Tamandua tetradactyla: one gene and its partner. The protein of the gene in region 1 interacts with the protein of each later gene in a pairwise test. Links are inferred from orthologs where the notes say so. Each region holds a gene or a part of one and is shown in the gene's direction. Other genes may lie near its edges.

What was found.
Region 2: the proteins of EGLN3 (region 1) and FOXJ2 interact in binary tests that used the Homo sapiens proteins (3 or more experiments, as listed by UniProt). The two-hybrid records come from large-scale screens. The link is inferred for Tamandua tetradactyla from reciprocal best matches to the Homo sapiens genes EGLN3 and FOXJ2.

Annotation. Positions count from the first base shown.
Region 1 is NC_135340.1:20,112,203-20,120,018, forward strand, and holds the start of EGLN3 (prolyl hydroxylase EGLN3), read left to right. Parts: upstream 1-4,804; 5' UTR 4,805-5,153; coding exon 5,154-5,510; intron 5,511-7,816. UniProt on the Homo sapiens protein: Prolyl hydroxylase that mediates hydroxylation of proline residues in target proteins, such as PKM, TELO2, ATF4 and HIF1A. Target proteins are preferentially recognized via a LXXLAP motif.
Region 2 is NC_135333.1:70,436,250-70,443,139, reverse strand, and holds the start of FOXJ2 (forkhead box protein J2), read left to right. Parts: upstream 1-3,886; 5' UTR 3,887-3,963; coding exon 3,964-3,985; intron 3,986-6,197; exon of another isoform or gene 6,198-6,890.

The DNA of each region.
Region 1 (7,816 bases):
GAGCTTTTTAGACATTTCAGCTCAAGTGAGAGTTGGATTGGAAAATATTAATGCATATCCTTGATATGTCACATGTCCCAGAATCTGCACATGGCCAGCATAATGAAAGAGAAAATGAAAGAGGATTGAGTTTAACCATAGACTGAGAAAGAATTAAGAATTGATATTGAAACTCACTTTCCTTGCCGTCCTGTTACACCTGGAGAGGAACAGGAAGGCCTGACTCCACAGGGAAAGGGACATAATCAGATGCTTCTTTCTCTAAGCCCAATTCATACCTGTGAGCTCAAGATATACAAATTCACTTCAGGTACTCTCCTCTTATTTTTTGCCAGCTCCTTTAAAATTAACTGCATTTCCTGTGTCCTGAAGGGTAAAACTGAGAAACACAGCTGACTGAGGTGGTAGCAAATTACCAATGGCTAGTCTCAACAGACCTATACATAACTGAATTTATGTTGGATTCCTGGAAACACTGGGCCGTAATTGGTATGGAGCAAGGGAGAAACCCTAATTTGTAGTTTGGAAAATAACTCCTAATGTAGTCAACTAAATAATTTATGGTAAGTTTTGCTTATCTACCTATGGACCCAACATCAGTAAGGAAACTGATAATTAAAGTTGTCACTGCAGGTTAAAGCGTTCCAGCAAAGAGTTATAACAAAAAGATGACTTAATGGCAAAATCATTTCTATTCCAAGCAAGCAGTTCAAACTGATATTTTCCTTCCTGAGCTCAGTATATTGGAATCTCTCAAAATTTTTCCAGCGTTGTTATAAACTCACTTACTGTGTGACCTTGGACAAATTCCATATCTCTGTTCCTCATTTTTGTCATTTTCACAATGGGGAATAATAGTATCTATTTCTTTGTGTTGACATAAGAATGAATCAAGGTAATATTTGTAAAGTTTTTATTGAAGTGCCTGGAATATTCTAAGTATTACAAAAGTGTTGGATAAATAAATAAAATAGCCTTTGGCTACCTTAAGTCATTCAATATAATAATAAATTTCTTGATGATATATGGGCAAAAACACAAAAAAAGAATATTTAGGGGCTAGTTAGGAGGGAAGGAACTTCAGGCACAACAGAATTTTGAAGGAACGAAACAAATTAGACACTTTTTCATAAATAAGAAAGGATGTGATGGAAAATTCATACAGTACTTGTGCATGTAAATTATAAAATGTAGTGTAAAATGGTTCAGCCACTATGGAAAACAGTTTGGCAGTTCCTTAGAAAGTTAAACACAGAATTTACCATATGATTTGGCAATTCCACTCCTAGGTACATACCCTAAAAAACTGAGAACAGGGACTTAACAAAGTGTTGTTTGCAAATTCATAGCAGCACTGTTCACAACAGTCAAAAGGTGGAAACAGCCCCAGAGTCCATCTGTCAGAAGGGGTAAACAAATTGTTGCATATGCATACAATGGAATGTTATTCAGCCGTAAGAAAGGAATGAAGAACTGATACATGGTACAAGGTGGCTTACCCTCCAAGTGAAAGAAGCCAGATGCAAAAGCTCATTCATTGTATGATTCCATATATATGACATATCTAGCATAGGTCAATCCATAGAGACAGAAAACACATCGGTGGTTGTCAGGGGCTGGTAGGAGGGGGCAATTGGGATTAACTGCTTGATGGTACAGAGTTTCTTTTGGGGTGATGAAGATGTTTTGGAACTAGATAGAGGTGGTGGTTGCACAATGGTGTGAATGCAATAAATGCCACCAAATTAGTCATGTTAGAAATGTGAGTTTTACCTCATTAACAAATAAATAACATTAAAAAAAATTAAAAAGAGGTGAGTTGGATCGCTTTGTTAACTGCAAAGACAGAAGCATCCCAAGCTTCCTCTTCCATTCACAAGAAACATCTTACTTAGAAAAGTAGCTTAATGTCCAGCCCCTCTGGGCCATGGCTTTCTATATGAAAGTGAAGCTGGACTGGGTGACCCCTAAGATCTCTTCAAGTTTGAATTCCAAGGTAAAGAAATTCAACAACCCTCCTCACCCACATGCTTGAAAATTCTTGCATCTGTATGGCAGATGCTCACTGGAAGACAACGTTGTTGTAATTAAATTACAGGGAAATGAATTTGTTTTAGTTATCAATATGAAAAAGTATTTTAATATTCATTACTATAATGACTCAAATTAATGAGCAAAGTCACAAAAACAAATGCACTTCAAAAATTAGCTTGAGATTTGTCACTCTGATGCTCAGTTACAGAGCCTGTGTGTGGCTCCAGCCTGTCTGCTCCCCTCTGTGTAATCACACACTGTGATTTCTGCCAGTCTCTGTATCTCTGTCTTCTCTGCCAAATGCAGTATGGGCAGCCCCAAGCTGAAGGAGATTCTTGATTAATAGGTGCCCTTGCCAAGCAGGAGTGGTGCCAACAGAAATGAATTCTTCTATAAACTGCTCACACTTTGCAATCAGAGTACTCTAGAGCAGTTTTAAGGCCACCAAACAGTCACTACAACTTGCTTAGAATTATTGTTACAATGTGGATGAACTATATAGCAAAGGGCTAGTTAAAGATTTTCTCCCCTTCCTCTTGTGACAACTTTACTCTGAAATTATTCAAATATTATTTGAATAGTAAGCCAAATTTACCTAATCTTGGGATTTTAGAGTGGGGTCAACATGTTCATTCTAGGTGGCAGGTTTATAATTTTCTGTATTTTACTTTTTTCTGGTGTTCTATAAATTCCCTCCTAATTATTCCTAGTACCATCAGGTATATTTATAAAGGACCTTCAGCTAGAAAAAATTCAACCAGCTATCAAAGGTATCTGCCATTTTCCCCACTTTTAATTCTGGCCCTCTTCAGGAATAGCTACTTCTGAGGTACACACAGTCTCCCAAACTGCCAGATCCACAAGCCTCTGCCTACCAGGACCTACAATCAGGCTGCCTCCCAACTAGGTGTCCCCTGGTCATCCCATTATCTATAATGCCCCAGATTACTGGGATTCCTGGCTATGTGAGGTTCAGGCAGAAGGACCTTCCTTCCTTTTGGTATTGCATATCCATTTCACTCCTTGCTGCACATGGGCTGTTCCTCCAGCTTTCACTTTAGGTTTCTGGCTTCCAGCATGGGCATCCACCACGGTTGGCTGGGGAGACAAATCTAAGAGACAAAAATCCTGTATAACACCTAACTGACCCTCTCCACAGGCCTCTGAGGTTTGGTTTGGGACCTGGCTGATCGGCCTGCCACTTCCGTCCAGTCAATACTCTGGAAGGCTCTTCAGTTCCGCATGCAAGCAGCTTCCTTCAGCAGGCTCCCACACAGGCCCAGACACGTCTGAACCACACATGGCAGTGGCCATAGCTCAGGGTCAGCCCCCAGTTTCCCAGTAATTATTTTTTTAGGCACCTACTATGTGCCCGGATTTGGGGATCCAAGGATGATGATTTCTGGCCATCACAGACCTGCTATGGGAATCTGGAGGACAAGTCCTTGAGTGCTGGCCGGTTCAGGCCTTTACCCCAGGGGAAAGGTGCCAACTAATTACCAAAGGTAGGGAACCTCCTCTCAGTATAACTAGAAATTTTACCAAAGTTTCTTAAACGCTCCAACATTGACGTCTCCCAGCACCCATGTGCCTCTGTCAGCTTTTTTCCCCATCATATAGTAACAATGTCCCTTTCTTATTCTACTTCTTGTTCTGGGTCTAGACTTCACTTAGTTTGTATCTCTACATTTCTCTCTTCAGACATAGAAAGGGAAGGGCTGTTAAAGGAGAAGAGAAGTGAAAAAGCTGTAGTAGATTGTGTATGAAATAAATGTACTTGTAAGACCTGTATATTCTTTTGTGCAACTTAAATGAAGAATTAGAGTGCAAACAAATGGGAAAATTATAAAATAGGCAACAGATATGCATGCAATTTATGAAACTTCCTTTCTTGATTCTGATCTCTGCTGTTTGATTTGGTAGGAAAGACCAGTAATTCATAAAGCAATCAGCTGACCTTTGAATACTTAAAAGTTTCACCCCTTCTGGGTGATGCGGTCACTTGCTGGGAAAAGTGAGAGGATGGATCCAGAATAGTTTTATCTTTTTGAGGGCATACCTATACTGAGCATCTGATTAATTTGGAAGGTAAAATTTCAGAACATCATCTTTTCGTTGGAAGTTTGAAAGGTAAATGTCTGAGAACATCCAGAAAAACAGAACATTTGCAGGGTTCGATCAGATATGGCCCAGAAAGTATTTCTTCACTGTGCACATTCCCGCTCTTTGAGAACATAGGGACTTGCACGTAGTAGGAGTTAGGAAAATGTTTGCTAAGGTGCTAATTTTAGTTAGCACTGTTTTGCTTCCAATCCTCTCAGGGGTTTGAAGCCCCTGACCAGGGTCACACCGCAGGGGAAAGGGGAAAGGGGAATAATAAAAGCACGAGGTAAAGCTAGAATGAGACGACGGCTTGACATATCTAATTTGTTGCTGGGTTTAATATTTTTGTTCAAAAGCCTGTGAGGTGAGCAGCCCAGATTGTGGCAACATTAATTGTCTATGCCGTTAATTTCATCGACACTTTCAGATTTTCGACACTTCAGATTTTCGAGTTTGTCATGGGGGTTTATGCAAAAGCACATGCAAATCGATAGCGTTTGGAAACTTCCCTCTGTGCTCCAGCCCCCCTCGGTGTGACAAACAACCCAGGCTGGCGCCGAGCTCGCGGAGAGCCTCCGCGGAGGGGGCAGGGCAGGGAGGGAAGGGGCGGGGACGACGGGCGGGAGTAGGGGTTGTCCCGGAGGCGGGACAGCTCAGGAGTAGGACCTCAGCCTCTAGCTGCCTCTCGCCGCCGCCGCCGCGTCCGCGGTGGCCTCGCATCTCTGCTAAAAGGGGCTCTCCGACTTCTCTCCAGGCCAGTCCAGGGCTGAGTCCTGCAGGTCGGCGCTGCGCCGTGGAGCCCTGCACTGCTCCCGCTGGGCCTTGGACCGGATCCCTTCGCCCCAGAGTTGCGCACAACTTTCCTTCTCTCCGGGCTGCGGTGGCTCGGGGACCGTGGCCGCCGCAGGTAGTTGAACCCCTAGTCAACGCACCCCGCGCCTCTTCTCCGCGCACGCTTAGCTCGTTCGCTGCCGGAGTGCACAGTGGGGGCCCCCGACCTCGGTTCTGCGGACGAGATGCCCTTGGGACACATCATGAGGCTGGATCTGGAAAAAATCGCCCTGGAGTACATCGTGCCCTACTTGCACGAGGTCGGCTTCTGCTACCTGGACAACTTCCTGGGCGAAGTGGTGGGCGACTGCGTCCTGGAGCGCGTCAAGCAGCTGCACTGCAACGGGGTCCTCCGGGACGGCCAGCTGGCGGGACCGCGCGCTGGAGTCTCCAAGCGGCACCTGCGGGGCGACCAGATCACGTGGATCGGGGGCAACGAGGAGGGGTGCGAGGCCATCAGCTTTCTCCTGTCCCTCATTGACAGGCTGGTCCTGTACTGCGGGCGCCGGCTGGGCAAATACTACGTCAAGGAGAGGTCTAAGGTAGGACGCACGCGGGCACCGGCGCCCCGCTGCTGCTGCCACCCGCAGGGATTGGGAGCGTTCGGGAGGCAGTTGTCTGCCGCCTTCGCAGGGTTGCAAGTTTTTAATCAAGAAGTCAGTTTTGTCTCCTGGCACCTCTGAGCCAGAGTCGCTGGTAAGGGGCTCAGGTGTTTAATTTTAATGGTCTTCTGTTGACTTTGAAATAATGGCTCCAGTGAGTGCTAAAAGCTAAACAAGCCGTGGCTTTTGGTCTGATTTTAAGAGACTTCCGTTCTCCGAGATCCAAACGAAGGAAAGGATATTAGAAACACTGTGTGTGATCTGAGGCACACGTGTACTCATTAGCTTAAATGCCTGCTTTAAACTCATCCAGGATGCCCCTTCATTGTGTTCAGAAGGGGTTCCTACAAAAGCACTCAAAGAGTTCTGGAGAGAGCTGTGATTTTGCAACGTGGCAATTGGTTTGTGGAGTGTGTGGCAGGTGTGGAAAGAGTTTGGCTTGTGAAAGGGTAAAACACCTCCATTATAAAGTGAAAGGTCCCTTCTTCATTCTGAGGGCTGCTACCCTTGACTGGTTGGACCCAGCACATTATTAAACCATCCACTTGGTTGTGAACATGTGTCCAACATTCGCCACTGTCAACTGATGGCAAAATCCACTCAAAACAACCGGTTACGTGATCAGGAGAGAGTAATCAAGAAATGATGGAAAGAAATGATTTCTTTGCTCACATAGCCAGAAGTGGCTCCCTGAGTGGTAATTTTATCTTGTTGACGTTTACTGGGAGATTGGCAGAAGTAAGGGAACATGTAGGTACCATGATGTTGTTGCACTTAGATTACTTTGGGATGGTCAAGACAGGCTGCCTTTCTTCAAATGATAGACCAGCCATTTTTCCAGTGACAGTGCTGTGATTTGCACTTCTTTTATGGCGGACTCTGAAGTATAGGAAAGTTTTATTCAAACAGTCAAATAAAGCATACCAGCAGTGACCCATTCCTTAAAAACATCTGCATTTCTCGATTCAAGATTGATCCTGTGATAAAACCAACCATTGTAATCTCATTTTCCCATAAGGTGAAAGATTGGGGTGGGTGAATGGAGCAGGGGACAAGTAGGTTGTTATATTCCTTTCAAGCCTGGAGGGCAGGAACAGGGTTTCTGAAAAGCATCATAAATAATCAAATCAAGTAAATATTAGAAGAAAATTCTGCTTTCTAGATTTTACTTTGATTTGAGGGAAATTCAGTTAGCTGAATTCTGTAGAAGATTGCTATTACAGTGTTTCTTTGCTCTTCCATCTTTCTTGTGGTGGATTAGAAAGTCGTTTGTCTTGATTAGCTTTGATTTTGTACTGTGACCTTGCCTGTCTCCTGGGATGGGAGAACTGGGTGGGGCGGGGTGGTGGGGAGGGTTACTCAGCAATGCAAAGTTGCATGGAACTTCAACCTGGAATAACAAATGGCTTATCTGTTTTTTGTGTTTTTTTTTAAGGTTCTTTGCAATTTAGAGTTAGGAAATTTCCCCCCAGGATACTAGGAACAGAATCTGCTCCAAGGGAAGTCAGAATTAATTGCTAGAAAGAGGTCACAAACATTTGAAAGTTAAATTTTATTCTTTTGCTTTGACTTAATGGATGAGGGTGGGGTTTCAGGCTACACTTTAACTTGACGAATTGAATGACAAGTATTGTGTACCTCAAAGTGAGGGGGAAAAAAAATCTCTAGATATGATTCTTCAGGAGTGGTTTATCTTCTGGGTGGAACAAGTAACTTTGCAGATAACTTTCAGAAGGAGATTGTAAATTAAAATGAGAAGGTTCATTTTGTTCACTGAAGAGTTGGGTTTAAGCACCATCTGTCCAGACCCAGATGTCCCGCTTTCCTTTGGCTGTTTAAAAATCTTCATTCCTGTCCTTCAGAAAATTCACCTCTACATTGGTATATTCATTTCCTGGCCCCTTAGAACCAAACGCAAATCAGGCTTGAGCTAAAAATGATAGTCAACATTTTTAAAAGCCTGATATGCTTATATACAGAAGTCTCCTAAGCAAGGTCTAGCACTTGGGTCTCTTGTTTGAAACTCATTTTTAAAGCATTGTAGAAATGCACACATTCCATTTCCATTTGATTTATATTAGTTTCACCTTCATTTCATCTTTGTTCACTTCTCTTCCCTCAGTGGTATCCATTATTCTGAGCTACTTCCTAAAGTAATGATACGAACTTAGTTTCCTGCTCTCTCTTCAATCAGGTTTTCAGTAAAAAGTAAAATTTTAAAAGGCAGAATTTGCACATTTATTTTA
Region 2 (6,890 bases), on another chromosome or scaffold:
AAATTGTGGAACTGTAACCCATATGAAACTGAAATCTGTTCTATAACCACTTGTTACAATATATTTTTAAATTAATTGCTTTTTAATATATATGTTGTTTCATAATAAAAAATGTTAAAAAAGTTTTCTCTCATAAACAGGATTCTTCATATATTTGTTAATCTCCTTCCCCTTTTAACGCATGCCCTTTTGCCTAAGCAACACATACCTTGACTATGCTAGAACTGTTTATAGTGCAGTAATAATTTTCCCATGGACTCTTATTGCAAATATAGCTGCTGAGTCCTGTTCTTGTTTAGAAACTATGGCTGTAAACTATGACTGTAATGATATTGAAGAGCCAGTATGATTATACTTTCTATAAATAATCTGGCCTAGAAGACCTAGGATATCATGAAAAGATGAGATCTCTTTGGATAGGCAGTACATATGTGTGGTAGAAACTCAACAAACAGCCCTTGGAGCGTTAGCTGTAATCCTAACAGGAAGTCCGTGCACTGTTCCCTGAATTTCGGAGCACAGTTTTTAGACAACGTTCAGGTATTGCTGAAATCTAGCTATAAGAAAAAGTCTGGCCCAGAAAAAAGTGACATTTGTTTTAGGAAGCAAGTGATTTCATAATTTACTAGCATAGAAAGTATCTCCTAAACACTCAAATTTCAAATTCTTCTTAGGCTGTAACCTCAGATTGTAAATTATTTTCCATTTATTCAATCTAGAGCACATCGTTCCACTAATCCCCTTTATCTGTTCAATTTTTCTAGAAAGATAAATTGAGGGGAAATTTATTGTTCAATTAACGGTGTGAAAAATTGTTTCTGGGTCATAAAATTGGCAGCAATACCTTTTAAAAACATGCCCTAAAGGTCTGGCATCTGTAGAATCCATCCAGTATACTTTATAAGGACTTTCCACCCTAGCTTAGTTCAGTTCTGCAATTATTGACTATCTACTACGTATCGGACACTGCCATGCACAGAAGATACAAAAATGAATAAAATATACTCCTAGCTCAGGAAAGCTCCTGGCCATTCTGCAGACAAGTCTTTACTGTTTTCTCTACCACCACTCTGCAATTATTGCATAATTAGTTTCTTTAGGATCCCACCTGCTTGTATACCGTGACTTTCAGCTTTCTCTACTGAGCCTGTTTCCCTAGCCTTCCCCAAAGAGAGGGTTAAATCCCGTGCTTTCTCTTTCCTTCACTTCATTCATTCTCCTAATACTGTAAGTAAATGGTAAGTCTGGGACCAAATGAATTTAATCATTTATACTCCAGAAAGCCAGCGTACACGCCGACCTCGGAGAAGTAAACAGGAAACTATCGATCCCACGCAGGAAATGACATGTTTGAGGGCAAAGAAAATGCCATGGGTATCCCTCTTTTCCTTCAGTTCCTTTAACTCATTTCCGGGTTTCAACTAATTTGGTCCTTCCCTACAATATCAGAGTCTGGCAGGTTCTTCCCGGTCCTAGCCTAGACCTCGGGAGTGGCCAATAGGCTCTTTCCTTTACAGGGCATTTTTATGTGTTGCTTTACATCATCGCTAATTTTAACCAATCAGTAGTTGGCGTAGGAGGTACCAAACTATCCTTCACTTCCTCCCCAAACAGCGCTCCCTCGCCGGCGTCATCTTGTGATCGATTACTTATACAGCCAATCAACACGCAAGTTGGAGCCCAGCCTACCCTAAACCCAGCCAATTAAAATGAAGACGGGAAACGGGGGCGGAGAATGGAAAAGTCGGCCTCTCTTTTCCAAACGATTCGAAGAGGTGCGTCCGGGACCAGTGAACTTAATTTTCGACCCAAGATCTCGGCGTACCGTATATCTCGTGTGCCCCAGTTCTGTTCCACTTCGGCCCCACCCCTTGATGGGCCCCACTCCTCACCTCCCACCCCGGCGTTTCAGTGAAACCTAGCCCCCTCCCTGAAGTCCTCCGGAGAACTGAGCCTCAAGGCCCCTGTTTCACGCGCTTCTTCCGGTGTCGGCAGAGTAAGGGGAAAAGAAGACTCTGGAACTTCGGGCGCCAGTCGTTCCATTCTGTGCGTCTCTCCTCCTTTCCCCACGTTCCCGGGTCGTAGTTGACACGGGGGTGGGAGGGGCTGAGTGGATGCTCTGCTTGGGAGAGGCGCCGTCCTCTTAAGGTGGAACTGAATGAGCTATTGGGTGCCTGGGCTAGTAGATCACGTCTTCCTGGCTCCCAAACTTGAATCCCAGTTTCTCAAATCTAGTCCCGCAGACTTTTTCTTCCAGTTTTATTACTAGGAGGGATAAACAGAAATAAGAATTGTTTAGAAAGCGAATTATTAAACAATTATGTGAAGGAAAAGTAAAGTATGCCGAGAACTTTTCCTCTATAATTTAATCTTTTCCGCTGTCTTCTATGACATTTTAATGCAGCTGCTAGAATTTTTCTGATGTGCAAATATCTCCGTTTTCGTTTGATAAAATTCCTAAATGAATAGTTTGTATATCGATTTTGTCTCTCCCCCACTGGACATGGCTGTAGCTATTGAAGGAAGCCAGGACCCTGTGCTGCGGGTTACTCCTACTCTTTACAACCGGTGCCTTGGAAGCTGGTAGAGTGGAGGTGGTACATTGTACGGCCTTGCAATCCTGGCTCTGGTTCAGTTTTCTCCTTTTTATGAAATGGGAATAACAATACCTACCGCACAGGTTTACTGTGAGTACTAAAATAACTAGTGTAAGTGCAAACATGGCATAATCTGAGAAGTGTAAACAAAAGGAAATATGCATGCAAAACATATGATAATGTAAAGATTTACATAGTCTACTATGTATGTTTCAAGTACTTTTCAAAAACAGTATTTGTAAAACTTTATTTTGTAAAATTTCAAGCAAAAAAGTATAGCGAATAGTATTTGTTTAAAACACATTTTGTTACAATTAACACTTGGGCAATCTTTTTTCATCTCTATACTCCCCCGCCTTGCTTATTTTGAGGCAATTTTCAGACATTTTATCCCTAAATTCTTCAGTATGCATTCCTAGAAGATAAAGATTCTTAAAATTAACACCATACCATTAACACATCTAAAATATAACAATAATACCTTAATATTACCCAAGTCAATATTGACATTTCACCAATTGTCCTTTAATATTTTTTCAGTTGTTTTGTTCAAAAAAGGGTCCCCCAAACCGTTTGCATATTGAATTTGATGGATGTCTCTTGGCCCATATAAATTTTATTTAGTTTCTGTGTCTTCTAAACTTCTTTTAAAGACTAGGTTCCCCCTCTCTCAGGCACTTACCTAACTGCTTTAGAGATACAAAGTCACACAACCCCTCCATAATACTATGATCATACTATTATCCCCTCTTACTGATGATGAAGCTATGTCATAGAACAGTTTAGTGATGTTTCCAGGGTCTTAGTTATTGAATGCCAAAGCTGGTTTTTGAATCCGTGTAGGATGTGTTCTTATCCAGTATACTATGTTTCAAATAATACATAGGTCTTTAATTAATACTACAAAAATGTGAATTTTAGCATAACAATCACCATAATAAAATATTATGAAGAAGGATTTTACTCAAGAAGAATAATATGTTCCATTTTAGTAAGGGTGGATCATTTTTTTTATTCTTTGCTACTCCATATCACTTTCCTTAAAAGAAAGTAAGAGGAGAATGCATGCAAGTGCTTCCCCCCAAACCAAATCATCCTCATTAATTTTTTATCTAAAAGATTATATAAACAAAATCCATATAAAAATATATAAAGTATATATAGAGTATAAAATGAAGTAAAAAAAATCTTAATCACTCCTCTTTTTTACACAGTATGTACAGATATTTTTAAAAGCATCGCCTCTCCAGAACATCAACTAGTTTCATCCCCTTCTCCCATATTATTGACAGCCTCTTCCAACATGAAAAGGTTAGAATGGCCATAGCCGGAATACTTCTAAAGAGCAGGAGAAAGATCAAAGGTGATGGTGGAGTTATACAGAGAAGGTAGGGTTTAACAAATGTGTATGATTGCTGGATCATTATATTGATATTTCTTTTGGGCTCCAGTATCTTAGAGCAGCTAGGACCCTAAAATTGTGGAATTGTAACTCATACCAAATTCTGAAATCTTTTCTACAACTGTTGCAACGTGCTTTGAAATTTATTGCTTTTTTGTATATGTTATTCTTCACAAAAAAGTAAAAAAATATAAGGAGAATAAATGAACTGTGGACAACATGATATAATAATAAAAGTACAAAGTTGGAAAAAAAAAAGAGCAATGATATGCTCATATTATACAAACAGTTTTTCAACATGAGTTTCCCACTGGAATATATTCAGATATATGAAAAAAATTGAATCTAAAATAATTCATGTCTACTGCAAAATATCTAAATTGTAAAGAAGAAAAGCTAGTTTGCACTAATTTCACCTTCCCTAGTAAATTACAATTACTCTTCTAAAAACGAAATCATAGTGTATTGTGTGTGTGTGTATATATATATATATATATATATATATATATATATATATATATATATATATATATATATGCCATAATTTATTTGTTACTCTATTTTGGATATTTATGTTGTTTCTAATTGTCTACCGTTACAAATAATTGTGCAGTAAGTATCGTGTATATATCAAATAAGTTCTTAAGCTTTTTATTTTTCCAAATATCCAGAAAGGAGATTCTAAGCCTTCTCTAGCTTTCTTTCCCATTTTTAGTACTTTATCTCTCTACCCAAATTCTATATACATAGAAAATGCCCAAAAGGGTTGAAAAAAGAAACAAAACAACCTAAACATAGCAAGAAACATTCGCTGCCAAAGTATTTTTCTATAGCAGCACATGGGAAAATGAATTAATGCCTCAAAGAGGGGAAAAAGTACAACTTTAAACCTGGATATTGGAAAGATTGTCAGGAAGTAAAGGCTCAGTTGGACTTGATCCACTTTAAGGATAACTTTAGTTTCTGACAGTTAAGACAACGGTATCTGTACAATAGGTATAAAATAATCCCTTATGGGATTGCTATAAGAATTAAATGTGATAATACATGCTCAATGCCTGGGACACTGTAAATAAAATGCAATTATAATGTATATGTATAATTTAAATAAAATATAGTACTACATATAGTCAGAAGACAAAATATTTTATTGTCCAAAGGTTAAATGTCACCAAGCTGTAATTTTGAGTATGGAGTCTTTTTTGAGCAATTCAAATATTTCATGGACAACATTTCTGCTCTCATGTTATTTACGTGATACAAAGTAGAATGGGTGGAGAAAGTTTAATAGGCCAGAGGTTGGAATATAAGAGCATTTGTAGAGAAATACTATGATCTCAGGAGAAAGGTGGAGGTGTGCTCCAGGTGGCCTTTTCTGTCTCTGAGTGAGGATTATTCTGTGAGGGCATGCATACTTGGAGCAGAGTTGTGCTGTTGAGAACATTTTATATGCTATGATAAAGAGAACTGAACAATATATAGTACATTGTACAGTTTTAAAAGCGTTTTGTATATTGTACGGTTTTAAAAGTATTTTCACATAAATCATCTCATTTGGTTCTTGAAACGGCCTTAGTGAGTAGGCAGAACTCAAGGTCTCCTCTTTGCTGACCAAGATTCCAGAGAACAAGAGACCTGCAAAAGTTTTCTCTGTTATACAGTCATTTATCCCTTTATGCATTCACTCGTCCAATAAGCACTTGAATGAACTCCAGGATGATTTCAGGGTTAACATTAACTTCGCCCCAGCCCCGATAACCCTGTACCAACAGTCTGTGAGGCGGATTGGGGGCGGGGGTGACGGGATGGGAGGAAGAAATTCATCAAAGACATTCCTGAGAAAACTTCTGGGGATGTTCAACTGTATACAGAAAGAAAAAAAGGTCAGAGTGACAGTTGTCCGTCGATGGAGAGCGGTGGGGTTGTCTGGGCGACCTGCGCGGAGCAGAGCGGCCGGGCGGTGGCAGGAGGCTCGCTGGCGGCGGTGCGCGGCCCCAGGATTGCGGGCTGCGCGAAGGCTGGTCCTCCCGGGAGCTGGCGGGTGGCGCGCAGCAATTTGGCGGCGCGCGCGCACCCCGGCGGCGCTGCCCGCGCTTTGGCCGCCCCGCTCCTCCTTAACCCGCGCCGGGAGGCGGTGGCGGCGGCCGGGCGGGCGGGGGGGAAGGAGGGGCGCGGAGTGCGGCGCGGAGGCCGGGGAGGAGCCGGGGCCTGCAGCGGAGCCGAGCCGAGCCCGAGCCCGAGCCGAGCCCTGACACGGTCCGTACGCCTTCTGGCTCCCCGGGAGCCGGGACTGGCCGGAGTCGGAGAGGTGGCAGCGCCGGGAGCCCCACGCGCCGAAGGGAGCGGTCAGGCCCGGACGGGACTAGAGGAGGCGCTGCCGCCACTGTAGCCGGTGCCGGGAGTCGGGAGCCGCGGCCTCCCGCACCCTACTGCCCAGGCCAGCTCAGGGAGAGGGGAGTAGGAAAGCCCCACCTTCCGGGGCACCCCAGGAGTGAAGGCGGGAGTGGGTGTCGGAACAGGGAGAACAGACCCTTAGCACTCGGGCGAGGAAAAGAAGAGACCCCTATAGAGGACGCGTCTCTCCTTCCTAAAGGCTAGGAAAACCCCTTACCACCCCGGGAGGAGACCCCCAGAAGTAGAAAAGGGCGATCTTTCCTAAAGGAAGCAGAGTGAGGCCACCTCAGCGTGACATCCCTCCGAACACACACTCTCATCAGTTCAGAACTTTTGAGGCAAAGAGAGAGAGGGGCCATGCTTATGGAGTAAGCACCCTCCATCCTACCCGGTACTCACGGGGTCGAGTCTTTATATTCAGAAGCAGAGGGCACTCCAAGGAAAGAAGAGAAATTTGCTTTCAGGAACTCAGGAGAGGGGAAGACCTCCCCCCTCAA